4 linked regions of the Diceros bicornis minor genome follow. The protein of the gene in region 1 interacts with the protein of each later gene in a biochemical or structural test. Links are inferred from orthologs where the notes say so. Each region holds a gene or a part of one and is shown in the gene's direction. Other genes may lie near its edges. The genes, in order: UBE2N, RNF135, ZNRF1 and RBX1.

Evidence for each region.
Region 2: the proteins of UBE2N (region 1) and RNF135 form a complex in vitro, tested with the Homo sapiens proteins (4 studies listed by BioGRID). The link is inferred for Diceros bicornis minor from reciprocal best matches to the Homo sapiens genes UBE2N and RNF135.
Region 3: the proteins of UBE2N (region 1) and ZNRF1 form a complex in vitro, tested with the Homo sapiens proteins (3 studies listed by BioGRID, with this or other methods). The link is inferred for Diceros bicornis minor from reciprocal best matches to the Homo sapiens genes UBE2N and ZNRF1.
Region 4: the proteins of UBE2N (region 1) and RBX1 form a complex in vitro, tested with the Homo sapiens proteins (5 studies listed by BioGRID). The link is inferred for Diceros bicornis minor from reciprocal best matches to the Homo sapiens genes UBE2N and RBX1.

Annotation. Positions count from the first base shown.
Region 1 is NC_080764.1:28,470,246-28,478,028, forward strand, and holds the start of UBE2N (ubiquitin-conjugating enzyme E2 N), read left to right. Parts: upstream 1-4,338; 5' UTR 4,339-4,741; coding exon 4,742-4,771; intron 4,772-7,783. UniProt on the Homo sapiens protein: The UBE2V1-UBE2N and UBE2V2-UBE2N heterodimers catalyze the synthesis of non-canonical 'Lys-63'-linked polyubiquitin chains. This type of polyubiquitination does not lead to protein degradation by the proteasome.
Region 2 is NC_080757.1:21,203,262-21,210,727, forward strand, and holds the start of RNF135 (E3 ubiquitin-protein ligase RNF135), read left to right. Parts: upstream 1-4,310; 5' UTR 4,311-4,324; coding exon 4,325-4,693; intron 4,694-7,466.
Region 3 is NC_080771.1:25,547,357-25,554,861, forward strand, and holds the start of ZNRF1 (E3 ubiquitin-protein ligase ZNRF1), read left to right. Parts: upstream 1-4,022; 5' UTR 4,023-4,423; coding exon 4,424-4,847; intron 4,848-7,505. UniProt on the Homo sapiens protein: E3 ubiquitin-protein ligase that plays a role in different processes including cell differentiation, receptor recycling or regulation of inflammation. Mediates the ubiquitination of AKT1 and GLUL, thereby playing a role in neuron cells differentiation.
Region 4 is NC_080764.1:9,389,499-9,397,296, reverse strand, and holds the start of RBX1 (E3 ubiquitin-protein ligase RBX1), read left to right. Parts: upstream 1-4,391; 5' UTR 4,392-4,408; coding exon 4,409-4,486; intron 4,487-6,409; coding exon 6,410-6,488; intron 6,489-7,798. UniProt on the Homo sapiens protein: E3 ubiquitin ligase component of multiple cullin-RING-based E3 ubiquitin-protein ligase (CRLs) complexes which mediate the ubiquitination and subsequent proteasomal degradation of target proteins, including proteins involved in cell cycle progression, signal transduction, transcription and transcription-coupled nucleotide excision repair.

The DNA of each region.
Region 1 (7,783 bases):
GCATGAAGCACTAAACAAAAGGAAGCCTATTGCTCTAATTCTCCTGGGTTTCATCTTTCCCAAGGCCTTCCTCCTGGAGATAGAGCTCCTATGACCCTGGAAGACCCCACTCAGAGCCTCCTTACAGGCTGGCCTTGTGTTGGTTAACAGTTTATAAATGCTCAGCCATTTACATGGAAGTCATGAACATGAGGCAGCAGGCGTTTTTTTCTTTCTTTTTTTAAATCAGTGTGCAGCCTTTTCTTCCTCCCCCACCCACTTCCTCCCTGAGTCAGTGTTCATGAACCCTCTTCTCACAGATACTTCTGTCCTGACCACCCACGGAAGAGTGTTTCTACGTGCAAGAAACCATAAGGGTATTGCAGAAAAATGAGTATTGCTTATGACTTGAAACAGGGCCTCTATTAAAGGTGACTGACCTACCATTTTCCAAACTGATCTATTCTATTTTGTCTCTGCAAACATGAGACAGTTTGTAGAAAAGCTCTGTTGCCCTCCAGGAAGTCAAGTTGAAGAGTTTAGGGATGAACATAAACATCCTATGCTTTCTGTAAGCATTCACTTATGGATCATGAATCTATGTCAGCCATTCTCAAACAGGAGTTTTTTTGCAGCCTGCGGTCATCGATTCACTCCTCTCACAAATATTTTTTGAGACCTCTCATGTAGCAGACCCTGTATTAGGCCACAAGGATACAGTATTGACCAAGATGGAGGAGATCCCTCACTCTGAGGAGCTCAGGTATAAATGTCCTCCGATATTACCTGCAAGGTAAATAGTACTTAGGCATCTCCCATTATAGGACCAAATTAGCAAACCTAGAATGTTTGGGGGTGGGGTGTGTGGAAGGAACAGGAGGCAGTGAAATAGTTTTCTGGGGAGTAAGAGATTTGCATAGAACAGGATTCCTCTAATTCCTCCAACACAGCATTATTGCTTGCTCTTTCCCTATATCATAATGCAAAGGCACTCGTGGTTTGAGTCCCAGAAGGAGAGACTGGAAAAAAACATGGAAGAGAGCAAGACCTGACATAGAGCCAAAAAAGCGTAATTAGCTAAGAGTTCTGCCTAGCACTGTTCAGCTTAGTGAATCTATCTGGTCACTGTAACCATTTATTCAATGCCATAGACCAGCATCTTTTTGCTGAGGTTTGAGTTTATAATATCATGCCTGATCAGTGTTTAAAGAGCTTTGAATACCCCTTAGATTAGACTGTTGAAATTAGTGAATTGGCTTCTTGTTTTATGTTTTTAATAGGTAACACATTCAAGTAGTTCAAAAATCTGTAAGATACAAGAGTAGAAGAAAAAGTCCTCCTTTTACCTCTGTTCTCCAGCTGCCCAAGACCCCTCCCCTGAAGGAATCGATTCAATTAGTTTTGTAGATATCCTTATTTTATCCATATTTTATAGATATGGTAAGTAGGATTCTTAACCAGTTTTCTAACTTGAGAATAAACCTCATGTCAGCCCTGTGGCAACCTGTCCTTCTAGAATATTTCCTGTTCTGCAGGACTTAGATGAATCAGAAGTTTAGATTTTATTTTCCAGATGAGTATAGTGTGAGCTGTTCTCAAGGGGGACAAGAACAGGAAAAACAACTAGAAGAGACATGAAAAAATATATTTTAAGGGTTAATACTCTAAGAGAATTTCATGCCATCAAAACAATCTCTGTCGATTGGGTTGGTGGTTACCAGAGGGGAAGGGGGAAGGGAGGAGGGCGAAAGGGATAATTAGGCACATGTGTGTGGTGATGGGTTGTAATTAGTATTTGGGTGGTGAACATGATGTAATCTATGCAGAAATAGAAGTATAATGATGTACACCTGAAATTTATACAATGTTATAAACCAATGTTACTGCAATAAACAAAAAAAGTCTGATAAAAAAAAAATCTCTGCCAAACAAGGTTTTACTGTCAAGTTTTAAAAATCTGGTTTCCTAGGAAAACTATACCTGGTTCAAAAATAATAGCCCTTGCTAAGTGGTACATAGTGTTCTAAGTACTTTATATATAAATGTATCATTGAAACTTCCCAACAATCACATGAAGTAGGTTCATTTTATAGGTGAAGAAAATGAAGGACAAACAAGTTAAGCAAACTGCAAGTTTTCAAATCTAGGTGGGACTCCAGGGCCCTCACTCGTAATCTGCATGATACTCACCATCCATTCTGATACAGAATAGCCAAAAGAGGGCACGTGACGTTTTTTGTTTATACATTTTTGTTCTTGTTTATTCAAAATCTTTTGTTCTCAAATTTTAGGATCTATCAAAATTACCCATGATGTTTAAATGCAGAGTCCCAGACCTCAGCATTGACCTGGAGACTTAGAATCTCTGGGGGAAGGGCTCCAGGAATGCTTATTTCAGCCAGCACTGCCGGTGATGCCAAGGCAGGTGGTTCCTAAGCATATTGTGACAAACGTCATACCTGTGGCACTTTGTGTTTTCCAAAGTTGGTCACACCCACAGCTTCTACCACACATACTCTGCTACTTTCTAGAATCTTGTCACTCCTCTTTCAAGAGGTAGAGTCCATATCTTGGGTGGGCTTTTGTGACTAGTTGACCAATACATTATGGCGGGAGTAATCCTATGTGACTTCCAAGGCTGGGGCAAAAAAGTGGATTCAGCTGCCACTTGCACTTGCTAGAACACTCACTCTTGAAACCCAGCCACCATACAGTGAGGAAGCCCAAGCTGTCCCAGGGAGAGGCCCACCTTGAGGGGGACTAACAGCCAGCACCAACTTGCCAGCTATGTGAGTCATCTCACAAATGGATCTGGTCCCGGTCAAGCTGCCCAGGCTGCCGCAGCATGGAGCAGTGATGTGCCTTCTCTGCCAAGCCCTGCCCAGACTGCAGATTCAAGAACTAAATAAATGATTGCTGTCCTTTTAAGCACTAAGTTTGAGCTGGTTTGTTAGGCAATAGACAACTGGCATAGTCCCCTTCTAATTCAATATTCACTCTGCCTTTCTTCCTAATAAGGTGAATTCTCCTGGGTCTTCTCTAAAATATTCTGAAAGTATCCTTGTCCAATGTCATTTACTTTCTCGGATTCTTTTAATCACAGAACCACTCATTTAGGACTTCTGGTTATTTCAAGTTCCCATTATTACCTCTGAGGCTGTGTTTCACATCTAAAAAACACTGGTAATAAGAAAGCCTACCTTATATGCTTTATAATTAAATGAGATAATCCATGTCACCATTTAGCACGGTGCCCAGCACGTTATCTTTTATTATTCTTATTAAGTTTCTTGCATTCATATTCTCCATTTCTTTAATGCTCTTTTTTTTTTTTTCTTATAGCTTAATGACATTTCACAGGCTATTTTCTATGCCTGGCGTGCTCTTCCCTACCAGGTCACTTAGACTCTTACCCATGTTTTAGGCCTCAACTTCTTTGGGAAGCCTTCTCTGACTTCTCAAGCAATTAATGCCTCCCTGTGCTCAAATAGCACCTTGGAGGAGCCTCTATTATAGCCCTTAACACATTGGGTTGTAATTGTTTACTTGTCTCTCTTCTCCACTGGACTCTGAGTTCCTGGAAAGCAGGGTCAGCCTCTTTGTATTCTCATCCCCTAATACAGCATCTGGCACATCTTCATTCACCATCTACTGTCTGTGCTACTGTGTTTGGAAACACTGTGCTTAAGTAGTTAAGGGGTCCATGTTTTGGGAGACCTGCCCGAGGACAAAACAGCTCCACCTCCTGCATAACCTTGAAACAAGTTAGCGTCTCTGAGCCTCATTTGTAAAGGCGGAGGCAACACCTTCTTAAGATTGCTGTGAAGATGAAGTAAAATAGTAACTGCAGTGAGCCCATCACACAGCAAGCAATCAATCACCAGGATGTCACGAAATGCTTCCCCAAATCCTATTTTCGGGCATCCCCACTCTAATCTTCCTTTAGGGCCCCGCGCTCTGTGGGTTATCCCTCTTTCCCGGATTACTCTGGGCTCTCCAATCCTCTCCTTGGTCATTCCTCCAGCTAAGGACTCTGCCGTTTCAACCACTGAGTCCAGAAGCCATTCTTCTTCCCCGCCCCCAACTCTCCAAGCTCTTTTCTTTTAGCCTTTCCCGGGCCTAAGGGGTGTGTCAGAGGCTTGATTTTTCCGAAATTTGAAGATCAAAACTCTCTGGCTAGGGTTTTCCCTGGCTAACTTTCGAGACCCACAGGAGCTTTGCTACCGAGTTTCGGTCTTCTCCTCTCTTTGAGTCAGGAGCCAGCGGATCAACTTGACCGCAGTCGTTCCCTGCAGCACCAGCTCCGACCGCGCGCAATGCAGGAACGTTGAATGAATGAACGATCGCACTAACGAAGGAATGGGCTACGTCGGCGGCCGGGCCTCTGTTACGTCGCCCACCGGCGCGGGCGTGGCCGTGGATAAGAAGTCTGAGGGGCGCCGGCAGCCCAGTCCCACCATCGCGCGGCCCGCTCGGCCAAGACCGGCGGAGCCCCGCGCCACCTCCCCCAAGTCCCTGCCCCGCCGCGGCGCGTCACTTCCGCCCCCTCGGGCCGGGGCTGGGGCGGGGAGCGCGGGGGAGGGGGCCAGGTCCGAGGGAAGCCCGCCCGAGCCGGGACTACATTTCCCGAGGGGCCTGGGCGGCGGCGGCGGCGGCGGCGGGCGCGGCAACGTCCCCCGGAAGTGGAGCCCGGGACTTCCACTCGTGCGTGAGGCGAGCGGAGCGGAGACAAGACCAGAGGCCGAACTCGGGATCTGACAAGATGGCCGGGCTGCCCCGCAGGATCATCAAGGTAACCGCCCAGGCCGGCCTCCGGCTGCCCGCTCTGCTCGTGCGCTCTCGGCAGACCGGGCGGCGCAGCCCCTCGCTGCCTGCGGCCCGCGGCCCGCGCTGGGAGGCCCGAGGCAGCGCGGAGAGGGTCTGGCCGCGGCGGCGAGGGAAGTCGGGCGCTGGGGAGGGGGCGCCGGGGAGACTTCCGGCCGCGGTGGGGCAGCCCGGCGGCGGGGACCCGGGGCTTCCAGGCGGCTGCCCCGCGAGCAGGGAAGGCCTGGCCTGCGCTCTGGCGGAGGGTGGGGCCGGGGTTGCGGGGCTCCGGTCTTGGGCGCGGGCCGGCGCGGGCCTCGGCGGCCTCTCAGACCACCCCCGGGCGGAGGCCGCGGGCGCGCGGGAATCGTGGCGGGGCCCCGACTCGGGGTGGGGGTTGTGGCCCGGCACGGCCCCTCGGCCCCGGAGCCCCCTCTCGGCCCGAGCGGGAGCGCGGGGATGCGGCAGCCCCGCGTTCAGAATGAATGAACCGGGCGAGTGAGGCCGGGCGGGGCCCTGTGCCCCGGGAGGCGGCTCCGGGAGGGCCGCGCGTCCTGCCGCCGTCGACACATGCGGGTCCGGGGATGTGGGGGCTCCGCGCCCCGCTGCCCTCGCTTCCGCGAGCTCGTTTCCTTAGATACGTTTCCGCTCGTTATCTCCGCGAAGTGATTTTACTCTGGTTGGTAGACTGGTTCAGAGCTCCTGTTCAGAGCAAATAGTTTAACACAAGACCGGGGGTGGGGGTGAGGGCGCAGGTATGGGAGACCCTGTGAAATCTTTTGCCTCTCGATTTTGTGCGCTTTAACCATTACATATAGAATCATGAAAAATGTGACATCTTTATTTTGTGAATTCTTTACATAATATCGAGTCCTCCGATGTGAAATGTTTCTTGCAATACTCAAAAACAAAGCTTTGAAGTTTTTTGTCAATTTTAGTGAAGGAAATCAGTTGAACTCTGTGTCCCTCAATATGCGAGTTCAAGTGACTAAATTGCAGCATCATTTTGCTGGATATAATGTGTTGAGCGTATATTTAATCTAGTTTGTTCTTCTAAAGTTTGGGGGGAGGTGCATACTCAGTGAAAACCTGTTGAAGGCTGATGTATTGTGTATTGTTTCGTGCAGTTGTAGGTAAATATGTGTGAGATGGAGGTGTCTCTGCCTTAAGGTGCTTGATTTAGAGAAATAAGACCATTTGTAAGATGGATATTCTTAGAAATTAGAGAAGTAGAACAGATTGTCATTGGGTGCTGGAGTCTAATGTGGTTCTTCATAGTGCCAAATTTGTTATATTAGTGGATTTATCTCGGACTCTGGCCAAGGCAGTTTAATTGCTGTATGCATTGGAAGATCCTTAAAATGTGGTTTTAGTTATAATGCAGTTACGTGGCCCTAATGGTCATGTTTATCGAGGCCCCAGTTGAAACTGAGGGGTGGAGGATAGAGCTGTATGCCAGATATTCTCTTAATTTTTATTGACTTCTAGTCAGGTGATTGACTAAGTACATAACACAAATTGACATTCAAGATAATTCTCCAAAATACATAATGAACTAAAGATTTAAGATGAATTTTTCCATTTTTGCTTGATTTTGGAGATATTCTGCAGTAATATGAAAGCCTTGAATAGAAAAATAAATTCTGTGGGATCTTGTTTTTATAAACTTACAGAAATTAAGGCAATAAGTTGTTCTTATAATTCAGTTCATTTGGCACACAATAGTTTAGTTTACACTAGGCATTTGCATCTTACTATTTAAACCAAGACAGTGATAACTCATATATAATCTTAATTTTACAGTATTTTGTTGATAGCATCTCTCTAATGAAAGATGCCTTGATTTGGGTTTTATCTTGTAAAAGTTAGGTGGTTTTACTGTAATACCATTTATAGAACTGTTTTCTCCAATCCCTAGGAAGGATTAAAAGATTATACTGTTTTTTCTAGTGCCCCTGTTATATTATGTAGGTTTTTCCATAATCAGTGAAAATGTTTATTTTTTGTGTCAGAATTTTTAAAAAAAGGTTGGGTCTTCTCTGTCAACCACTATTACAGGGTCCTATGTGGAATATAGTTGTGGTGGTGGTGGTATGGTAGCTCTACTGTCCAGAATGATAGGAATACACCATACCATCAATGGACAACTATTAACATGATGCTGGCCACCTCAAAATGGTTACTATTTACATTTGCAGAGTTCTTGAGCCACTTGATACCTGCAGTAATCTTGTGAAGTAGACAATACATTTACAGTCTGGAAACACATTCAAACAACTTTCCTAGGGTCTTGAAGCTGGCAAGAGGCAGAACTTGGATGTTAACTCAGAGTGACCTTCTCCTGCCTCTTGTTATTATGAAATGACATAATGTATGTAAAAGTACCTTGACAATTGTAAATGACTATTCAAATATAAGGTGATTTTTTTGAATTCACCCCGTTGCTGTCCCACTCAGATTTTTATTTCCAGTCCAGTAGCAAATTCTCTAGGCTCTACTTTCGAAGTATATGCTGAATCTGACACATTTCCCTCTCTCTCTGAAACCACTGTTGAGTTCCATCATTTGTTGCCTGGCCTACTGTATTAGTCTCCTTTTAAGCAGCAGCTAGTGTTACTTTTTAAAATATAGATCATGTTACTCCCCTGCTCTGAACTCTACAAAGGTTTTCAGAACACTTAGAATAAAATCTTGGCCTTTTCCCCTTAGCTACAAAGGCTTACATCTATCCGGGATCTGCTGACCTCTACCATCATCTCCTGCACTTCTGTGCTTGGGTTGCTGCACTGCAGCCACACTGTTGCTTTGCTGTACCCTGAACAGTGGAAGGCTAAGCTTGTTCCAGTCATGGGGCTTTCCTCCTGTTTATTGCGTTGCTTGCTTTGTCGTATTGGTCAGTTCTTGGCTCACATGTTGTGTCCTCAGAGATTCACCTAACTGTCCTAAAATACAGGTTGCCTTTCCCTCTCCCCCATAGTTTCTCTTTATCCTCATATTCCCC
Region 2 (7,466 bases), on another chromosome or scaffold:
CGGGTTCGGATCCTGGGCACAGACCTACTCACCACTTATCAAGCCATGCTGTGTGGGCGTCCCACATATAAAAAGGGAGAATTTTCCTCAGCAAAACAAGAGGAGGATTGGCAACAGATGTTAGCTCAGTGCTAATCTTCCTCACACACACACACACACACATACACACACACACACACACAAAATAGAACTACCATATGATCCAGCAATCCCACTCTGGGTATATTTCTGAAATCACTATCTCAAAGAGATATCTCTACTCCATGTTCACTGCAGCATTGTTCCCAATAGGCAAGACATGGAAACAACCTAAGTGTCCACCCACAGATGAATGGATAGAGAAAATGTGGTGTATATAAAATGGAATATTATTTAGCCATAAAAAGGAAGGAAATCCTGCCTTTTGTGACAACATGGACGGACCTTGAGGGCATTATGCTAAGTGAAATAAGTCAGACAGAGAAAGACTTTTGAGTCTGATCTCATTTACATGCGGAATCTAAAAAAGCCTACTCAGAAACAGAGAGTAGAAAGGTGGTTGCCAGGGGCTGCCGGGTGGGGGAAATGGGGACATGTCGGTTGAAGGGTACAAACTTACAGTTATAAGATGAATAAGTTCTGGGGATCTAATGTACAACATGGTGACTATAGTTAACAGTACTTTATTGTATGCTTGACAGTTGCTAAGAGAGGATATCTTAGTATATCTTAGTTCTTACCACACACACACACAAATGGAATTATGTGAGGTGATGGAAGTGTTAACTAACCTTACTGTGGTAATCATTTTTGCAATATATGGGTGTGTCAAATCATCACGTTGTACACCTTAAACATACACAATATTTTACGTCAATTATGTCTAAATAAAGCCAGCAGAGGGGCTGGCCTGGTGGCGTAGCAGTTAGGAGCACAAGTTCCGCTTAGGCAGCCTGGGGTTCGCAAGTTCAGATTCCAGATGCGCACCGATGCACTGCTTGTCAAGCCATGCTGTGGCGGTGTCCCATATAAAGTAGAGGAAGATGGGCACGGACATTAGCACAGGAACAATCTTCCTCAGTGAAAAAAAGAGGAGGATTGGCATCAGATGTTAGCTCAGGGCTAATATTCCTCACCAAAAAAAAAAAAAAAAAGCAAAAAAGTAATGTTCATCCACAGATAAATTCATTTTTTAAAAAACCCAGCCCATCCATCTCATTAAGAGCTGCAATTCTAATAAAATTTTTACTTTTTGATTAACAATTATTTACATAAATTTACAATATATTTTTGTTTTTATCGACTGCTAATAATAATTATAATGATAATTCAATACAGAATAAAAAAATTAACAAGAGCCTTTTTGTCATAGGAAGTAAAAAAGATTTAAAAATTCAATATATATATATTTTTTGTTGTTGCAGGAAATTATTACAAAGTGATAAAAGTGATTTTGTTGTTGTTAGTGCCATCAAGTCAATTTCAACTCCAGCAACCCTGTGTACAGCAAAGTGGAACCCTGTCCAGTCTTTTTCTCACTTTCTCCTGCCCGCCATTTTCTCACCTTCCGGCACTCTATCAGCCAAAGTTCTGCTGCTATTTATAGGGTTTTCATGGCCAATTTTTTTGGAAGTGGGTAGCCAATTCCTTCTTCCTAGTCTGTCTCAGCTGCTGAAACCTGTCCACCATGGGTGACCCTGCTGGTATTTGAAATACTGGTGGCATAGGTTTCAGCATCACAGCAACATGCAGCCACCACAGTATGAAAATTGACAGATGGGTGGCCTGGTTCCCTGACTGGCGAATGAACCCAGGCCATCACAGTGAGAGCACTGTATCTTAACATCTTAATCTGGTGATTACAAAGTGATAAAAGACTGTCATGCATAAAATATATTATCTTAGATTATAGTTTTGTGGAGAAAGTAGAATGGAAATACAAGTTTAAGAAGATGAAAGAATGATAAAATTTCCAATGTAAATGAAGAACTTGTTCACAAATTTTTACAGCTAGGGCTGACTACTGCCATCCCTCCCCCCTTTCTTGTAATCACTGCATGTTTTTGAATAAAACTTTTAGGAGCTGTCCAAGAAAAAAAAGTTTGAAGACCACTGGTTAATCTACTCTTCCAAGAAACTTGGGTGTGCAGTGGAAGACAGAAGGAGAGATAGCTAGAGGGAGGCCTATATCAAAGGAGACTTTATTTTTTAAGATGGAAGATTTGAGCATGTGCATTTGATATCATGCCTATTTTTCAGAAGAGAGGTCCAGAGAAGCTATGAGTTTACTCCAAATGAGGAGACTCTGGAACAAAATCCAGGTAAGATATCAGTCAGAATACGCTAGGGGGCTGGCCCGTGGCGTAGCGGTTAAGTGCGCGCTCTCCGCTGCTGGCAGCCAGGTTCGGTCCCGGGCGCGCACCCACGCACCGCTTCTCCCGCCATGCTGAGGCCGCGTCCCACATACAGCAACTAGAAGGATGTGCAACTGTGACATACAACTGTCTACTGGGGCCTTGGGGAAAAAGAGGAGGAGGATTGGCAATAGATGTTAGCTCAGAGCCCGTCTTCCTCAGCAAAAAAAGAGGAGGATTAGCATGGATGTTAGCTCAGGGCTGATCTTCCTCACAAAAAAAAAAAAGAATATGCTGGGTTATGCTGTAGCTACAAGCACCCACTAAGTCTCAGTAAACTTAACATATCTCAAGTTTATTTTTCTCCTTTGCTACATGTCCTAGTATGGGTCGGCAGGAGGTCTGCTCATCTTAGCGACACAGAGACCCAGGCCACCAGTTGATGGCTTCATCTCTATAGTCACGGCAGCTAGCAGAAAGGGGTACAATGACTTACCAGCTTTTTAAGCTGGTGGGAAGTTAACAACTATTACTTCTGTGTGTTTCAAGTTGGTCAGAGAAGTGCCAGTCCTACCAGGTGCCTAGAAAGGAAAAGAGCTGGAAACTTGGATGAGCAGCACTAATGACTACTACCTGTCATTTCCAGTAGTGGAAATAGCCACAAATTTGTATTATCTGGTACCTACTTTGAGCCCAGGCAAGATGGAGTAAAATAAAATATAAGACATTGTTAGTTCAATTCAACAGACCAGAGAGAGACAGGTTCTGGTCTCTGCCACTCAGTTATTGCTATGTAAGCCTGGAAGTTTGTCTCTTTGGGTCTTTGGGGAGGATTTGATGCTGTTCTAGTTCATATGTTTTCTGGTTGTAATACGCTTAGGACTGGAATAAGAGGAGAGGAGGAAGAGAACAAGTCCAACCAGGGCCAGGAGTGCTACCTCAAGAAAACAGACTTTCTAGCATTTTTGTTCCGATGCTTGTTGGGTAATGTGCTTTCAGTCAGCAGGGAGCAGTAAGGAGACAGAGGCACAATTCTGCACTGTAACACGGATTGTAAAAGTCTAGGGGTCACTCAACTTTGGCTGCGGGTTAGAATCATCCGGGGGAGATTTTTTAAAATACCTGTGCCGTGCTCTACCCCAGAAAATCAGACTCTCCAGGAGTGGAGCCCCAACATCGGTGTTTTTAACCAGCTTCCAGTTATGTGCGCTCCAAATTCTTTTTTTGTGTGTGTGAGGAAGATCAGCCCTGAGCTAACATCCATGCTAATCCTCCTCTCTCTCTTTTTTTTTTTTTGCTGAGGAAGACGCGGTCTGAGCTAACATCTATTGCCAATCCTCCTCCTTTTATCCCCCAAAGCCCCAGCAGATAGTTGCATGTCATAGTTGCACATCCTTCTAGTTGCTGTATGTGGGACGCGGCCTCAGCATGGCCGGAGAAGCGTTGCGTCCGTGGGCGCCCAGGATCGGGATCCGAACCCGGGCCGCTAGTAGCGGAGCACGCGCGCTTAACCGCTAAGCCACGGGGCCGGCCCTCGAAATTCTTTAATCCCTTGCTAGTTGGAGGGGCTGGATGACACCTAGTGGACGCATTCTCATAAAAGAGTTCTTGAATCCTCTTTTTTCTTCTTCCAAGAGTTGTCGGGGTTGTATTTTAATGGGGCGGGGGGCGTTAAACCAAGGGATCTTTGGGACATCATCAGGTTCCTAGCGCTTGGGGCGAGCTGATTTCCCAGCAGAGGAGGCTGTGACTAGCAGCCAGCTCTGCCCCCAGGGCGCCGCGGGCTGGGCGGTGGAGGCTCTAAGTCAGCTTTCAGCAAGACTGCAGAAACGGAACAACGGCGGACCGAAGTGAAGAGGGGAGGAGACAGCGAAGGAGCGGGCGGAGAGGAAGAGCGAGGGAGGAGCCAGAGGAGACGTAGCAGCGGGCGGGCGGACGGGCGGTGCCTGGCGTGGCCGCGACTTCCGCGCCCCGGCGGCGGACTGGTCACCATGGCGGGCCTGGACACCGGCCGGGCCATCCCCGTGTGGCTAGCCGAGGACGACCTGGGCTGCATCATCTGTCATGGGCTGCTCGCTTGGCCCGTCACGCTGCCCTGCGGCCACACCTTCTGCCGCAGCTGCCTGAAGGACCTGTGGGGCGCAGGGGCCGCGGGGCGCCGCTGGTCCTGCCCCACCTGCCGCGAGGGCGGCGCGCAGCAGCTGCAGCTGCGGAAGAACACGCTGCTGCAGGACCTGGCCGACAAGTACAGCCAGGCCGCGCGCGAGCTGGAGGCCGGCCCCGGCCCGGCCCCCGGCCCAGCTCCCGCCCCGGCCCCCGGCCCAGCGCCGGGGCCCCCGCGCCCCGCCGCGCCGCTGCCGGTAGGGAGGCGGGACCCGCAGCTCCCCTCTCTCCTCCAAGCTGCCCGCGCCGCCTGCACCCTGTTGCCCCATCGCTCTTCCTCCTTTCCCTTTCCTTTTCTACTCTTACGTTACTTTTTCCCCGTCTAAAAGTAGAACGCGCTCTTTGGAAAGTTCAGAAAAGTATGAAGCAGCAGGAAAAAAAAAAATCCAAATCTCCTAAAATCCTATCAACCTAGCCGCTGTACACCTTGGCGTATTTCCATTTCTTTCCAGTCTTTACGAAGTCTGTCTCTATGAAAATTTTTTTATTGTGGTGCAATTTGCTATTCTAACGATTTTTAAGTGTGCAATTCAGTAGCGTTAGTTGTATTCACAGTGTTGTGCACCCATCACCACTATCTATTTCCAAAACTTTTTCATCACTACAAACAGAAACTCTGTACCCATTAAGCAATAACTTCTCATTCCTCCTCCCTCCAGTCCCTCTAATTGAGTTTCTGTCTCTATGAATTTGCCTAGATATTTCATATAAGTGGAATCATGCAATATTTATCCCTTTGGGTCTGGCTTCTTTCACTTGCCATGATGTTTACAAGGTTCATTTGTGTTGTAGCATGTATCCGAACTTCATTCCTTTTTGCGGCTGAATAATATTCCCTTGTATGTATATACCACTTTTTTTAAAAATTCATACCTTGGTGGATATTTTAATTGTTTCCACCTTTTGGTTATTGTGAGTAATGTTGCAGTGAACATTGGTTACAAGTATCTGAGTCCCTATTTTCAATTATTTTGACAATACCTAAGAGTGGAATTGCTGGGTCCTAAGGTAATTCTCTATTTAACTTATTGAGGAACAGCCAAACTGTATTCCACAGCAGCTACACCATTTTACATTCCCATCAACAAAGTAGGAGGGTTTCAATTTTCCCCAGCTTTTGCTCCTGGAACCTACGTGCCCTATCGTACATTTCCACCATAATCTTTAGCTCTAGACATAGGCAAGTTTAATTCAGTTGCAGCGTTCCGAGCAATGCCCACCACCTTTCTGGCCCGAGCTCTGAGTTAGGTAGAAAAAGATGAGCACCCTGTGTCATTCCTTCAGGCAGCCCCAGCCAGGTTAGAACAGACATACACAACAATTTGTGAATGTGGGGCTCTGCTCCTTCTGCAACCAGGACCAGGGTTCCACGCTGGGAATCTTCAAGACTGTTACTTAGCCAGGGAGGGAGTGGGGCGGGGGCAGGTAAAAACACCACAAAGCTTTCCTACTGCCAGGTTGCTCTTTTTTGATTTGGTGTTTTCCAGAGTCCTGACAAAGTTTGTTCTGTCAGTTTCTGCTTGTTTTGCGATGTTTTATTATGGGGGGCTAGGGGTAGGGTAGGGGAGCTTCCCGCTCTACCCTTTTGCTGTTCTCTGCGGTCTTTTTGAAGAGTTGAGGTCACCTTGTGTAGGTAGTTTATGTCGTGTTTTTTTTTTTAATTAGTTAATAGACTTTATTTTTTAGAGCAGTTGTAAGTTTACAGAATGCTGAGCAGATAGGACAGAAAGTCCCCATATATCCCTCACAGTTTCCCCTATTATTAACATTTTGCATTAGTGTGGTACATTTGTTACAATTGATAAACCAATATTTATACATTATTATTAACTAAAATCCATAGTTTACATTAGGGTTCACTCTTTGTGTTGTACAGTTCTGTGGGTTTTGACGAATGCATGAGGTCATGTGTCTACAATTACAGTGTCATTCAGTTATACTGTCCTGAAAATCCCCTGTTCTCCACCTGTTTGTACCCCATCCCAACCCCTGGCAACCACTCATCTTTATACTATCTCTATAGTTTTGCCTTTTCCGGAATGTCATATAGTTGGAATCATACAATATCTAGCCTTTCCAGACTGGCTCCTTTCAGTAAGCAAAATTAGGGTTTGTGACTTGATAGCTCATTTCTTTTTTTATTGCTGAATAATATTCCATTGCATAGTTATACCACAGTTTATCCATTCACCTGGTGATGGACATATTGATTGCTTCCATTTTTTTGCCGTTATGAATAAAGCATGTTCTCTTCTTTTTGATTATAAATACAGCATTATCGCTCAGGTCCTTAAAATGTTTTGTTAATATAGATTATACTGTAGTGACTGAATATACTTTCCAAAGCCTTTTAAATTAAAATGATTGTCTTTGTGTTACCAAATTGACCTCACTCTGGTGGGACTCCAACCCACTTCAGAGGAGCTCCGCGGAGGGACCCACAGGTGTGGGCCTCGTACCCACAATCCGTCCCCTCCTTGGAGGGTTCTTTTCTGTTCAGGGTCGCAGATTTGAAACAAAACCAAAGCTGAACAGTCAACGGCACAAGCTTTTATTTGATGGCCAAAGAATAGAGAAGTGGGAACTAAGTTCACAACTCAACTTCTCAGCTCTTGGGGCGAGTAAGCAGCAGCGGTTATAAGGGGTCGAGATAATGAAGGGGGGGAGTATTCATCATATTCAGGGAACAGGGCAGGCTTTTCGGGGGAACAAGGGTGCCACCTCTTTTCTTTCCTTATTTAGTCATATGCTGCGGTTGCTGTGGCAATTGTGGACTGTCATGGCGCTGGGGGGGGTGTTATGTAGCACGGTAATGTATTACAATGAGCCTGTAATGAGCTGTGGGGTCTATGTCAGGTCAAGTCAGGCTACCATGTTGCCTTCACCTGGTTTTAACTGGTTTTGACAATATGTCAGCCATCTCCTTATTCCTCTCTTCGTGGTTTCCTGTAACCTAAAGAGAATGTGTTA
Region 3 (7,505 bases), on another chromosome or scaffold:
GAAGGAAAACATACTGGACTCCTGATACAACAAATGACAAAATGAAACTGATCTGAGGCTGCAGGTCTCCGCGGATGCCTGTTGCTAGCCATGAGTCACCCTCTCTAAGATGTCAAGTGTAGAATCAAGCTACTGAATGAAGAACTTTCCTCGTTCTGTATTTTAATATTTTCATTTCAGAGGCAAAATTGTCGTTTGAATAAAAGCACAAGGAGATAACAAGGGCATCGCCTGAGAAAGGCTGCCATGCAGGGTCCCACAGGGCATCTAAGCTTAGTGTCATGACATTGCAGAGAATAGAGGCTTCACCTTCGCAGTTCAGGCCCTCAGCTATTCAGTGGTGCCCAATGTGAGAGAGACCGGCTTATGATAACCAGTAGTCTGGAATATAAACTTTAAGGGCAAATTATTAATAAACAAAAAGGAATATAGCTGTTAAGCAGATCTAATCTTTTTCACCCCATTGGAAAGCATACAGAGAAAATGAAATTGTCATCCAAAGATTCCTTGATGAGCACCTTCACTGTAAAGCTTAGAAGTCCAGCTCTGCTCCTACTAGCTGTGTGACTTTTTACTGTGCATGTGGGATATACTTTATATTTACCTCTACCTCTCTATCAGTTGGTCTCTATAAATTTACATGGCTCAAACACTAAAATACAAAAAGATATATAACGAAATGAAATATTTCTCATCCATCCCGTCACCGAACTCTCCAGTTCCTACTGCCCACCCCCCAGGGGACAACATTATGTCATTTCATGTTTCCATCCAGTATCTTTATGAATATATACACTAAGAAAAATACAGGGGTCGGCCCGGTGGCATAGTGGTGAAGTTTGTGCGCTCCGCTTTGGCGGCCTGCGCTTCGCAGGTTCGGATCCCAGGCCAGACCTACACACTGCTTATCAAGCCATGCTGAGGCGGCGTCCCACATATAAAGTAGAGAAAGATGGGTAGGGATGTTAGCCCGGGGCCCATCTTCCTCAGCAAGAAGAGGAGGATTGGCAACGTATGTTAGCTCAGGGCTAATCTTCCTCACCAAAAAAAAGAAAAGAAGAGAAAAGAACAGAAAAATATAGACACGGTCCATGCTCCCTACCATGGCTGACAGGACCCTCTTGTCTGTCCCTGAGGACCAGCTTCATCTTTGGCTCCTCTCATTGCAGCTTTACTGCATCTTTCAGTCCTTTGAAGATGCCATGTTCTCTGGGCCTTTGAACATGCTGTTCCCTTTGCTTGGAACATTCTTCTCTTCCTGAAACACAGTTCTCCCCCCACCCCATTCCCTGGCTAATCTCCCACCCACCTTTTAGGTCTTGGCTTAGAATCACTGTGTTTGTGCCTGTCTCCTTCCCTCAGCACCATGCTCTTTCACTCTCATAGGACTTAGTTATTCATTCATTCATTTGAAAAATATTTATTGAGTGCCAACTACATGCCAGGCACTGTTCTAGACTTATCTATCACACTGTATTGTCACTGCCTGCTTCAATACTTCATATATATAGAGTCACATACCAAAAAATTGCACTGTATTACACTGTAATTCCCATACCATAAAATTCACGCTTTTAAGTGTATAATTCAGTGGTTTTTAGTATATTCACAAGGTCGTGCAACCATCACTATTACCTAATTCCAGAACATTTTCATCACTCCAAAAAGAAACCAGTTAACAGTCATTCTCTATTTTCCCCTTCCTCCAGGCCCTGGCAACCATTAATTTTTCCGACTCAATGGATTTGCCTATTCTGGACATTTCACATAAGTGGAATCATACAATATGTGGTCTTTTGTGATTGGCTTCTTAGTATAATGTTTTCAAGGATCATCCATGTTATGGTACATAACAGCACTTTATTTCTTTTTATGGCTGAGCAATAGTCCATTGTATGGATATACCACATTTGCTTTATCTTTTCATCAGTTGATGGATACTTGGGTTGTTTCCACTTTTTAGCTATTTTGAATAATGCTGCTATGAACATTCATGTACAAGGTTTTCTGCAGACATATGTTTTCATTTCTTTTGGAAATATACCTAGAAGTGGAATTGCTGGGTCATATAACTCTATATTTAATCTCTTTGAGGAACTGCCAGACTGTTTTCTAAAGTAGCTGTACCATTCTACACTCCCACCAGCAAGGTATGAGGGTTCCAATTTTTGCACATCTCACCAACACTTGTTATTGTTCTTTTTGATTAGAGCCATCTTAGTGGGTGTGAAGTGCTTCTTTTGAATTTCCATGAGAACAAGGACTCCATCTGTCTTGCTCACCACTCTATCCCAGAACCTAGTGCATAAGTGCCTGACACTTATGAGACATTCATATTTTGTTCAACACACTAAAAAAGTGTTGAATGAATAGGTAAATCAAAAGCTAGATAGACGGTTACAATACTATTGTGTATTTATCTCCCCCATAGAGCTCTGTCGAGGGATCTAGCATTCTTTTTTCTGCACAGTACTGAACCACCCCTCTTCTATTACCATGGTCTCTCTTCAGGGAGGAAATTGGGTTAAATGTAAGCTTTCTTGTTTTTCTTCAGATCACTCATTTAGATCTCAGGTGTGCACAAATTCTTCATTTAGGCACTTAAAGATAGTTTCTTGGGTATTGGAACATTTTGTTTTTTCCTACCTGCATTTCTCATACTGAACTCTTGACTTCCTTCTGCAGGGCCTTTAGTTCACTCCCAAGCACCCCATGCTTGCAAATAGCCTTCCTCCTGTTTCTTTCCAAGCGGGTCACACTGGGACAATCAATACCTGTGACAGACCAGCCCTCCTGTTTTTTGGTTTTCTCTTAATATTCTTTTACACCCTGTTTTGGCTCCTTGATTTGGAAGTATCTGGGGACATTTAGAGCAAGGAAGTCAGGCCAGGGACTAGGTGATGCTCATATCGAGCCCTCAGCACTTGAAAAATAGTTGTTGAATGAATGAATGTGAATTTGTGAGAGAGACATATTGCAAAATGCAGACTTGGTCAACAAATATTTATTAAGTACCCACTATGTCCCAGGCCCTGTGGTACATGCCCGAATAAAAGGTAAACAAAACAGGGGACTCGCCTTGGACTTAGGGAGTTCCTAAAATCACTAGTTCTAGCTACATTATTCCATTTTCACATCTCTATCTTTTCACTCTTTATCGTACACCTAATGACTTCAAGGATCACATTTTAGCTAAGGAATCTACCCGTTTACTTAACCCCAAAATAGGAAGTTCTGAATTACTGTCAGCAAAATTCGCAGTCGCAAGTGCCCCAGGGCGCTGTTTACCCGCAAACAGCCAAAAATCTCCCAAATGCTAAGCTTCCTGATCTTCGGGATCCCTGGATGGGGAACCTCCCAAAGAACGGACCGCACGTCCACCAGAGGGTGCTGTGGGGGTAAATTTGTGCCGGGAGGGGAGCTTGACCAGTGACCCACAGAGCCAGGTAGGCGTCTTGAGTAATTTTCATTCTTCCTACGGTTTCCTTCCCACCCCCTTGAACCATCGCCACCCCTCCCCCATAGGTGGTTCCCCCTGAATAATTAGCCACTTTCGGGGACTTAACGAGTGCTTGCTTTGAAAAGACGCCTTGTTCCGTTCCCGACACCCCGTGGCTCCAGTCACTCAGGTCACTGGTCGGTCGGGACCGGGTGGGTGGGGACCTCCGGGGCGTCAGGGGCCGGGCACCGCAGGGGCCGCGAAGGGTTAACCCGGCGGGGGGGGAGGGGGAGGGGGAAGGGGCGCGGGCCGCGCCTGCGCTCTGCCGCCCTCCATTGTCTCCACGGCGGCGAGGAGCGCCGGCGAGCACAGCCCGGGACCTAGCGGGGCGGCGCGGCTGGCGGGGTCGGCGGTGGCTGGAGCGAGAGGGCGACGGGACGCGACCGCGGCTTCCCGAGCTCCGCCTGGCCGCCCAGCGCCGCAGCCCGCCCGAAGCCTGGAGGGGTCCGGTCCGCCGTCCATGGTCGCGGCGTCCTGAGGCGGGGGACGCGCCCGGCGCCCCCAGCCGTCCTCCGCCTCCTCCTGTCGGGCGGGCGGCCTCCTCTGGCGCCTCCCTGCGCCCGCCCGCCCGCTCGCCCGCCGCCTCCCTCCCTCCTTCCCTGCGGCTCCCCCGGCTTTCGGGAGCCCGGGGGCGGCCTGTGGCGCGCCGAGCCCGCGCCGGACTGCGCCTCTTTGGACCTTGAGGCGAAACATGCGTTTGGCTTGGATCGTTTTAAATTCTTAGTTTGGGATCCCCGCCCGCCTGCCTCTTCCGCTCCGCGGGTTTTCTTTTCTTTTTTCTTTTTGTTTTTTTTTCCCTTTTTTCCTCCCAGTCTCCTTTTTGACTCCCTCCCCCTTTATGCTCGCCCAACCCTCCCCTCGCTACTGAGAAGTGGGGGAGGGTCTCCGCCTCCAGGTTCCCGCCCCACCGGGGCCCGGCCGAGCATGGGGGGCAAGCAGAGCACGGCGGCCCGCTCCCGGGGCCCCTTCCCGGGGGTCTCCACCGATGACAGCGCCGTGCCCCCGCCGGGAGGGGCTCCCCACTTTGGGCACTACCGGGCGGGCGGCGGGGCCATGGGGCTGCGCAGCCGCTCGGTCAGCTCAGTGGCAGGCATGGGCATGGACCCCAGCACGGCCGGGGGGGTGCCCTTTGGCCTCTACACCCCCGCCTCCCGGGGGACCGGCGACTCGGAGAGGGCGCCCGGCGGCGGAGGGTCCGCGTCCGACTCCACCTATGCCCATGGCAATGGTTACCAGGAGACGGGCGGCGGTCACCATAGAGACGGGATGCTGTACCTGGGCTCCCGAGCCTCGCTGGCGGATGCTCTACCTCTGCACATCGCACCCAGGTGGTTCAGCTCGCACAGTGGTGAGTCCGCGGATCGTGGAGGCCTCGGAGGGTGGAGTGCAAGGGAGGGCGCGCCGGGGCTCCCCAAACCTTCGCGCGCGTGCGAAGGTTTGGATGTGGAGTGCACGACCTGGATCTGTCTGTCTTCCCCTTGGTTCCGAAAGCCAAGGGATGAATGGGATACCTATCCTCTAGAAAAGAGGCATGGCATTCTGCGAGGCTGCGGAGCCGGGCATTTTAGGACTTCAAGCGTTGGTTCACTTGTGGATGGGCAGAGTGAAACCTGCCTATTGAAATCCCATTTATTGGCATCAGCATCCTCAAAGAGGTCTTGTCTGGTTTACAGCAAGTCGGCCTCAGTGCTTCCATTCTGTCACTGCAGCATTGTGCCTACCTCGCCGTTAACGGAGAGAGAGGGATCCCATCTGACCAAGCCGGTCTCCCAAATAAAGAGTGTGAAAAGAAATAAAATTGGGGGCATGTGGTGTTCGGATTAGGGCTCTCACTCTTGCTGGGAGAGGGGGATGCCCAATTTTGCCACCCTGCTGGAGATCTGTTTGAATTGTTTAAAATGGAGCAGGCTGCTGGCATAGACAGGTGTGGCGTGCTGAATGGAGGGCCCAGCCAGGGAGCCTCCCCTGGAGGCTTTGCAGGACCAGGGCTCTGGTCGCCCGTGCTGCATGCGGTAGGCTTGGCTCCATGACTGTCACATCCCTCCATCTTTTTTCTTCCTTTCCTTGCTAAGTGCTTGGTCTTCCTGTAATCTGCATCTTTTTGTAATGGAGAGGTGGGATTTTATTGCCTGGCTGTTGGCACAAGATAGGGGAAGAAGGGAAGAAGAGGATTCAGAGAATCTGGATGAATTCATTTTGTGAACTTCTGGTGACAGGCCAGTGAAAAGCTGGAGGAGGATTTCCCAGGCTCTGACTGGCAGGGTGGAAAAGGCACTGGCAAGAGCTGCTGGACGAAAACAGGTTTGTCTGCTCAGCTAACGTGCAGCTTAGGCTTCTAGAAAACTGGTCAAAAGGAGTGTGGGGCCGCTATTTGCTAATTGGCAAGTTGGAGTGAAGAAGTTAATGTATTCAGACTCCTTTGGGAAAGTCGAGAAAATTTAGATATTGTGTAGAAGAAAGATTGCTTTATGGAAGATTTATCTATCGGATCACTGTTCTAGCTATTGTGAAGTAGAGTAGACTTCTTGGATCTCTTTTTTATCTGGAAAGAGTCTGCATTTTTTTTCAAACTTTTGTCAAACTATAAACTTTAATTTGTGGAATATTTTTGGGGGAAAATAGTGACTAATTTAGGGTAACACTTGAAAGTAGCTTTTGAATAGCTAGGATGGTATTTTAAGCCCTGAACAGACCTCTGGATATCGTTGGAGCTTCTCTGACCTGAAGTAGATGCAAGGCATGACTGCCTTTGGCACTTTTAGGCATTTGATCAGCTTTAGACATCTTGAAATTAATGATCTTTCTGATAAAATATGATCCAGAAAGAGTCAGTTGTATTTGTGAGATGACTGTGGTTAAGTTTTTAAAAGAACTGTCATTAGTATCTGATTTTAAACCAAAAAGCACTATAAGAAGCTTCTCTAAAACCATAGAATTTTGTGTGCTGCAAAACAAATGTAATCTTATAGATGCTTGTCTGGGGAAGGAGTTCCCTTTTTGCTGAAATTTCTTGTCTGTCTCTTACCAGAAACTTCATTTTCCTTATTTCACCACCAGGTTCCATGCTGGAGTTATGAGCTTACAACTGGATTCCCAAATTTCAGACTCTTCAGCTGTGAAACCCATGGGAATACAGGAAAGGGCGTGGGGGCTGGTGTTACTATTGGGGGAATACATTCTTTATAGGGCCATCCTGTCCTTTTGCAAGACATTGAGTGTACCTGGCCCTGCCCACTAAATGCCCCCACAAATTTCCAAATGCTCTTGTCAGGGGTGGGGATACCACCCTGATTGAGAATCTCTGCTTTAGGGATTTGTTGTTTTATTCAACTAAAGTTATTTTTTCTGGTGCAGTTCATTTGAGATGAGCCTTCATTATTTCCACTCTTCTATCTCACCTTCTGGAACAGGCCATGGGATCTCCCTTCCAGGACACCCCTTTCCTCTCTTGTTCATTGCTGTAAGAAGAGAAGCTTGTTTCCACTTTGAAGCCTCTGAGTAAGACCCGAGCAGTTTTTGTTCTTGTGTCCTAAGAGTAGAAGGGTAAGGATTTCGGTGCACAATTGACTAGATGCCTGGAAGTTGATGTGGTGCTGTTGCTTGTGTTTTCAGGGTGCTTTTGGAACTCTTCCTGGGCACAGAAAACAGTTGTCGGTGAAATAGATGGGGGAGTTCAGTGTGTGCGAGGCTTCCTCAGAGGGAGTGAACTGATGTTGTGTCAGGAGGTAGAATACTGGGGTCCCAGCTCTTTCTCTGAGGAGCTGTGACCTTGGGCAAGACACATCACCTCTCTTGAGCCTCATCTTTGTTATTTTTAAAATAGACATGGTAATCCTTGCAGCCAGCCTGTAAAGGTTGTTCCCTAAATCCTGTGAGGATACACAGCAGTCACATTTGTCTTCTCTCGGTTCCTACACTTCCACAGGCTATGACCCTCACAGGCCCTGTTCCCTGGGCCTGGAATGCCTTTCCTTCTATTCTGTACATGGATAACTCTTTCTCATCT
Region 4 (7,798 bases), about 19 Mb from region 1:
GAGTCTTGGGTCAGTTGAGCAATTTTCAACTGAAACTGGACATCTTTATACTATGTTATGAGACTCTGGGTCTTATTTAAACCTTCTGTTTTAACCTTCTGGCTTTTTTTTGATACTGCTCCAGCAGGAGAGGGTGAAGGTAGAAGTCCAGGTTCCCCACTGGGTCCCCACTAACACCCAAGAGTGGGGATGCTCCGTGTTACTGCTGGGCAGGGGTGGGAGTTCTAGCTTCCCGCATGGTCTCTACTGACACTGTAGTGGGGATGGCCTCATTCTTGATGGATAATGATTGGTGAAAGCCTTGACTTTCCACTAGGTCTCCTCCAATACCATCCCAGCAGGGAGGGGAAGGGGTGCCTCATTACTGCTCGGTGGGAGTGGAGGTCCAGACCTCCTCGTGGTCCTCTCTTACACCACAGGGGTAGAGCAGCACCTTATCAGCCAGAAGGGGTAAAAGTTCCAACTCCCTAATTAGCCTGCACACCCTGGCGCAGGTGTCGGGGCACTTGGTTACAGACTTGCGAGCTGTACAAAACAGACTCCCCAACAGCTTTGCTGACATGGGTGGGAGTGGGCCACATTTTCTTCTGTATTGTTTGGATGGAGTAGGGCAGTTATTGTCTACAAGTTTTCCATTTGCTAGAGAAAGCAGCCTTTTGTTGGGTCTTTTTTTTTTTTTTTTTTTTGGTCTGCACTTATTGGCATTTCTGGGTTGCCACCTTCTTCAGCTCCAAGTCTGGGATGTATGAAGTAAAAAGAAAACACAGAGAACTCACTACCATGTCATTCCTCAAGTCCTGAGATCCCTAACTGGTCTGCCTTCTTCTCTCCACCTTTCAGAGTCTTCTTTTTTTTTTTTCAATATACCCTGTCTAGGGATTTCAGTCATCCTCAGAGGGAATAATAGGGAAAAGTATGTCTACTCCATCTTCCCAGAAGTGGAAGTCTTGCCTAGAACTTTTTAAAAGACATATCTGACCATGTGACTCACTGGTTAGAATCCTTCAATGGCTTCCCATCACTAAGGATAAAGACCCAAACCCTTTGCATGGCTCTACTGAACAGTCTTGCAAGACCTGGCCCCTACCAGTGGTAAATGTTTAACAACCAACTCTAGGGGTAGGAGGAGCCCTGATCTGTAGTGTTTGCTAATCTCCATGGTGTAAATACTACTATTATGGCCAATTTGAAGCTACCAACATGATGTCGCTAAATACAGAATTGGGAGGAGATGCTAACAATTGACTCTTGCACATCATTGCAGACTCATTTATACCACTCTCTCTCTCTTTATACTCCAGCCATTCCAGGCTTCTTTACGAGTGCACTATGCATTCTCCAGCTTCCAGCCTTTTCCGCACTCTGTTGGCTCTACCTGGAATGCCTTCTTTTTCCACATCCCTCATTGTGTGCAAGTGCTTGATTTGTAGCTTTAACAGCCAGGTTGCATCAGCTTACAAGAGCAATTGTTAAACTTTCAGGAATTTTGCAATCTGGCTATTAAAGCTACAAATCAAGACTTTATTTTTAGAGGTGGTTTTTAAACATTTACCAGCATACCACTGCATCCATTCGTCTGGTTCATCCTTCAATCTCAAACCAGTTCCTCTAAGAGGACTTCCTCCCGCTCCCCAGACTTGCTTTCTGCTTCTAAGCACCCTGTACTTCCCCTTTCCTAAAATTCACTGGGATTATCATTAATTGACTATTGCCTCTCTCCTACTACCCCATAAGTTCAGTGATGAAAGAGACCTTTTGGAAGTACTTAAAATATCAATTGCCTTTTTTTTCTAGACCAGCATGGTGTAGTTGACACAGCAGGTTCTGTAGATATTTTAGAAATATTTGTTGAATGAATGGATCAATAAATGAAAGGAACAGAACTAAAGTAAAATTACCACCTATTGCATTGTAAATGGAATGAAATTATGCAGGATAGGAATCAGTATGGAGTCCACAAAAAGTTTTCTTAGGTTTAGCAGCAGAACCTAGCATACAGAATTCCATGGCCAATTGCCACAGTAAGGCAAATCTCCAAAAGAGAGATAAGCACATGAGGTTTTCAAGGCTTAATGGAACCGCCCCTACGATCTCCCCTCTGTAGCTCGGTGCAAAGGAAACAACTCGCAAATTTTGCTGCTTCATGTATCCCTACAATCCCTTCTTCACAAAGCTTAAAAATTTTTATAAACTTAGATTATGTCACTGTTAGTCCCTTCCCCTACTTTCTCTCTCCAATGCCTTCTCACAACATCTGCAATAAAATCCCTACCTGATCTGGCCCCTGCCTACCTGTCTGACATCTCTTACCACAAATCCCTTGCTCAACAAGCTTCCGATTTATTCATTCAACACATACCGAGCACCTACAATGTACCAGGCACTGTTCCAGTTTTTGTTACCAGTAAACAAAACAATCAAAAATCTCCTCTCTTGGTGAGCACACAGAAAAAACAATAACTCTAATAAATGAAAAAATGTGTTAGAAGGTACCTGTACCATTAAAAAAAGAAGAGGGGCCAGCCCTGTGGCATAGTGGTTAAGTTTGGCATGCTCCGCTTTGGTGGCACAGGTTTGCAGATTCAGTTCCCAGGCAAGGACCTACACCACTTGTCAGCCATACTGTGGCAGATACCCACATAAAAATAGAGGAAGATTGGCACAGATGTTAGCTCAGGGCTTATCTTCCTTCAGCCAAAAAACAGAAGAAGAAGATAAGCACAGAACAATGAATGTAGCAGATCACGCAGGGCTTTTAGGCCCTCATAAGGACTTCAGCTGAACTGTCACTCCTCATAGAGGCCTTACCTAATCACCCAATTGAATGTTGCTTCCATCTCCCCTCAATCTCATGACCTTGTTTTGTCTTCTTCATAGCACTTGATATCCGAGATTTTCTGATGTATTTATTGACTCCGGTATTATTTCCCTACTAGGAGTTTGACTCCTTCATCACTGTGTCTCTCCTATTTATAACAGGACCTGGTACACTGAATGAATAAATATGCCCTCAGTACCTTAATTTACTATGGGTTTCTAGTATTCCTGGAGGAACACAATAAATTAGATGACAGAAATCTTAACATGGAATCATTAATTTAACAAAACTTGGGCTAAGAAAAACTTTGTAGGGTTTCTATAATGCTTGAAGGTCTCACACAATTTTTCTCTTTCCGAGTCCAGTTAAAGCTGTGGTGGTGGTTTCACGGATCTGTTGTTCTTGTTTATGACTAAGATGAGGAAAGAAATGGAAGTTCTTCCAGTTTACCAATGAAGTCACACTCCATTACTCTCGAATTCTAAGAGAAAATGTGAGATTTTTAGGTAAGAGTGATCTAGCTGACTCATATCTCTGCAAGGTGAGAGACGCAAAAGGGGGGCCTGGTCTAGAAATGGGAGTGAGGTAAAGTATAGGTGCTTTGCCTGCGAAGGAATGACCAGTAAGACTAAATGGCAGAATGCCTCACACAAATTCAAGAAGTACAGCGACTGTAGATGTGACTTCAGCACAAGGAGCAGGAAGACGACCGAAATTAGGAAGAAAGGACCCCACAGTTAGATGACCAACTGAGGAACGAGGAACGTGTGCTCAACGGGGAATGTGCGGGAAGTTGAAATCCTGTACCTTAACCAAAGCCCATTCTAGGACGGATTGGTATTTCGCGAGACCTAGAGACGGCATCTCCCAGGCTCCTAAGCATCCTCCACCTACTTCAGGTGGGCAGGTGAAGGCAGGGCTGGAGAATATCTGCTCAGCTTGGCCCTGGGGAGGACATTCGGGGAGTTCCCGTCTCCCCGTCGGATCCTGAGCATTCCCCGAATTGGAATCAGGAAACCAAACGGTGCCCGGGCCCCGGCCTCAAGCCTCCCAGGGAGGCTGCACCTCGGACCTGGCTCGGAAGAGGGTCAGGAACTGCGAAAGGCCACTGTCGGGTCTCGGGTTTCGGCCGCAGGAGGCGGGCGTCCACCCTCGCCCCTTCCGCGGCGGAAGCCCCGCTGGCACGGGAGAGCGCGGCAGCCGGGAAGGCGAGGCGGGGCCGGGGCGGCAGGTCTCGGCCGAGGCGGAGGAAGCAGCCGCCGCCCCAGCTGAGAGAGTGTGGCCGGGGGCTTCCCCGGGGAGGGCGACGAGAGCGAGTCCTTTCGAACGTTTCCACTTGGCTCGCTCACGTCGCCTCGGCCCCGCCCGGCCCCGCCCCGCCCCAGCCGCCGCCGCCGCCTCCGCAGCCGACGGGGGCGGGGGGACCTGCGCCAGCGCCTTTAAGAGGCGTGGCCACACGCTCCGCCCCACCTGCCCCTCGCGCGCCTGTAAGGGGTGAGGTGCGGGAGGAGGCGCCGGGGCGGGAGGGGGAGCGAGGCGTGCGCTGGTGCGCAGGCGCAGTGGCCGGACGACAGACCGTGTGTTTCCAAAATGGCGGCAGCGATGGATGTGGATACCCCGAGCGGCACCAACAGCGGCGCGGGCAAGAAGCGCTTTGAAGTGAAAAAGGTTGGGTCTCGCCAGCGCCTTCCTCAGGGGACCTAGAGAGGCGCGGATCTGGCTGGCAGGCCCTAGGATGACCGAGGCGCAGAGGAAAGGGCTTCATTTCAGGGCGTTCCTGAGACCGGGTACCACGAAAGGAAGCCGGGGGGCGGGTCTTAGCGTTGATCGGCGTGACTGGGGCCCACTGTCATTGGCAGCATTGGTTTCGTTCGGAGGCTGAGGGGCCAATCACGGACGTGCTTATTGAGATACGCGGGGTTGCGGCTTGGCTGCGGGAGCCAAGCGCCTGAGCTGTCACTGGAGTGCTGGAAGGGTGGGGAAGGAGAGGGTGGGGTGGGTGGAAGGGGGAGTCGGAGCGGTGCGGTGGGTGGAGGATGGGGCAGTGCGGCGAAAGCCGGGAACCTGAGGTCCTACCGCATTGGAGGTCTCGGAGGAGCCGGGCTGGCGACCTCCTTGCCCCGCCCCTCTCCGAAGCTTGGGGTCCCTCTTGACTCTGAGGGACCCCGACCCGGTCCTCACCTAATCGAGGCCTCCATTAGCCACCTCCCTGGCCTTCATCCCCGCCGAGTTAGTGTCTCGAGTGTAACTCTTGGCTCTTCTGAGAGGTCTGTTGGTTTGCCACACAGCCGCCCCAATCCTGTGGTCATATCCAGAATCTCCCTATCCAAAAAAAAAAAACCATGGTGGAATTTGTTAAAAAGAAAATGCGAGCCCAAATCTTGTGTCATTTAAGGAGGGTTGTGTACTAGTTTTGAACGACCTGGTGGAAGTGGGAAAGCAGAAATGTGGAACGTGTCTTTTTGCATGAAACGCCTTATGGTGGTTTGCCAACACTTTGGGAGAAAAGTGCCGATTCCTACCTAAGATAAAGTGAATCTGTTCAAAATGAAGACTCTGAAATAGGGACGATGTTATTCCTGGAACATCTGGATGAATACTGACAATATTCCCCCTCCTAGTGCTTTTTGGCTTTTCATTGTGGGCACTGCATGCTCAGTTACAGCCAGCAGCCATATTGAAGAATAAAAGAAGTAGGATTTTTTTCCTCGAAGTTGAAGCTGTCGGGTGAAACGTGCTGAAGAAGTTACTAGACATTGAGAATTGGGATTGAAAGAGATGAAGGTTTGGGAGGTGGCATCAAATTAGTGGATGGAAAAGAAGTTTGGGAACATTTATAATTGCAGAAGCCAGAAGGTTGAATTACTTAAATACCACTTTTTAGATAAACTCCTAATGGAATTATTTGAACTAAATATAAGAGTCTGAGCATGTAAAAGTTGAGAACAGTAGTTTATTTGATGGTAGGAACTAAACAAAATTCTAGTGAATTCTAGAGTTTGTTGAGAAGTAATCTTTTAAGATTGAAGCCATGACCTTGTTCTCTGCACTGACAATGGGTAATTCGTTATCCAGCTTATCCCACGATTACCCATTTTATGATCCAATCATCATCTTAGTTCGTTCTGTTCCTAGCTTTCACCTCCCCACTCATGCTTCCAAAGCTGCCTTGAAGAACAGATATTTATTTATGCAGAAATTGAGCTCTTCTGCAGCTGCCTGGGGAACCTGCACAGTAATTCAAGTTTGTGCTTATTAAACCTAAAACAGGCACTTACAAATTATGCTTACGTTGATATGGCTGACTAAATTATTTTAAGCTGTAGGAAAAAATAAAATTAAAAGATGACTCATTAATTTCTGTGTTTATATACTCAACTGTTTGGAGAATAAATGAGCATATGTGTAGCCTACTTTTGCCCTCGGATATAATAAATAAGAGTAATGTAGTATCCCCAGGCTCTTTTGTTTGGTGGTCCTTGTGGCCAAAGAGATGATAATTGCAGCTGCAGCATGAAATCCTAGAGTGTGAGTGTGTGTGTGTGTTACAAGGAGAGTAGAGTGCATTGTTCCCCCTTTTTCTCTTTGCAGTGGAATGCAGTAGCCCTCTGGGCCTGGGATATTGTGGTTGATAACTGTGCCATCTGCAGGAACCACATTATGGATCTTTGTAAGTAATTGGAGGAGGATGGGAGGAAGTTGAGAAGGTTACAGAGATTGTGGCTATCCTGATGTGACCAATTTTCTTCTTCACAAGGGCTCTTCTGCATGTAGTCCATTGGTATGTTTGAAATAGAGTAGTTTTTATGATGTCCTGGAGGCATACCCATCTCTCAAATCTACTCCATCTAAAGATGGCAAGGCCACATTTAGAGTGAATTATGGACACAGAGGCACTGTTGGTTATTCCTCTGTATTTCCCATCTTATACCCAGACTCAAAGGCAGAAATAGAGAAAGAAAGAAAATAAACTTTGAGCTAAAATATTCTATCTAGAGCTAGTTTTTGCTGGGTAAGATTTATAAAGAAAAGCCTAAGAAGGAAGGATTTTCAGTGTTAGCCCCAGACAGAGTTAAGAGGACATCACTGCCAACATCTAAATAGGCAATTAACTGCACTAAAGAAGTTTCATGTAAATCTCCACATATTCCATTACACATAGCAGGTTTGATGATAGCTGTTGATGGACTGACTGAGTATCCTTGTAGTAATAGGGGCAAGAATGTTGATCACACCAGGAACAGTTGAGGTTACTTTTTCATCCAGGTACTAAAATGGTTTGTTATTGAGATCAGAAATGGGGCAAAGAAATTTCAACTTTCTAGAATGAAATGATAGGCACTTAGTTCCTAAATCACTTGCCTCCCTCTCCAGCTTCATCTTGAGCCACTCTCCTGCTCACTCTGGTAGTTTCTCTGGCTTTCTTTCCATTCCCCAAGTGTGCATGCTCTTCTTTAGAGCCTTTACATATCCTATTCCCTCTGCCTGGAATATTCTCTGCCTCTTTTCCCCATTACCTTTGTCTAACCCAACACTGTCCAATCTAAATGTGAGCCACACATGCAAGCACATACATAATCTAAAATTTTCTCATACCCACATTAATAAAGTGAAAAGAAACAGATGAGGGGCCAGCCCCATGGCTTAGTGGTTAAGTGCAGGCGCTCCGCTACTGGTGGCCTGGGTTTGAATCCCGGGCGTGCACCGACGCACTGCTTCTCCGGCCATGCTGAGGCCGCGTCCCACATACAGCAACTAGAAGGATGTGCAGCTATGACATACAACTATCTACTGGGGCTTTGGGGAAAAAGAGGAGGAGGATTGGCAATAGATGTTAGCTCAGAGCCGGTCTTCCTCAGCAAAAAAGAGAAGGATTAGCAGGGATGTTAGCTCAGGGCTGATCTTCCTCACAGAAAAATAAGAGATGATTTGTATTTTATTTATCCTGCTGTATCCAAAGTATTTTCACTTCAACATGTC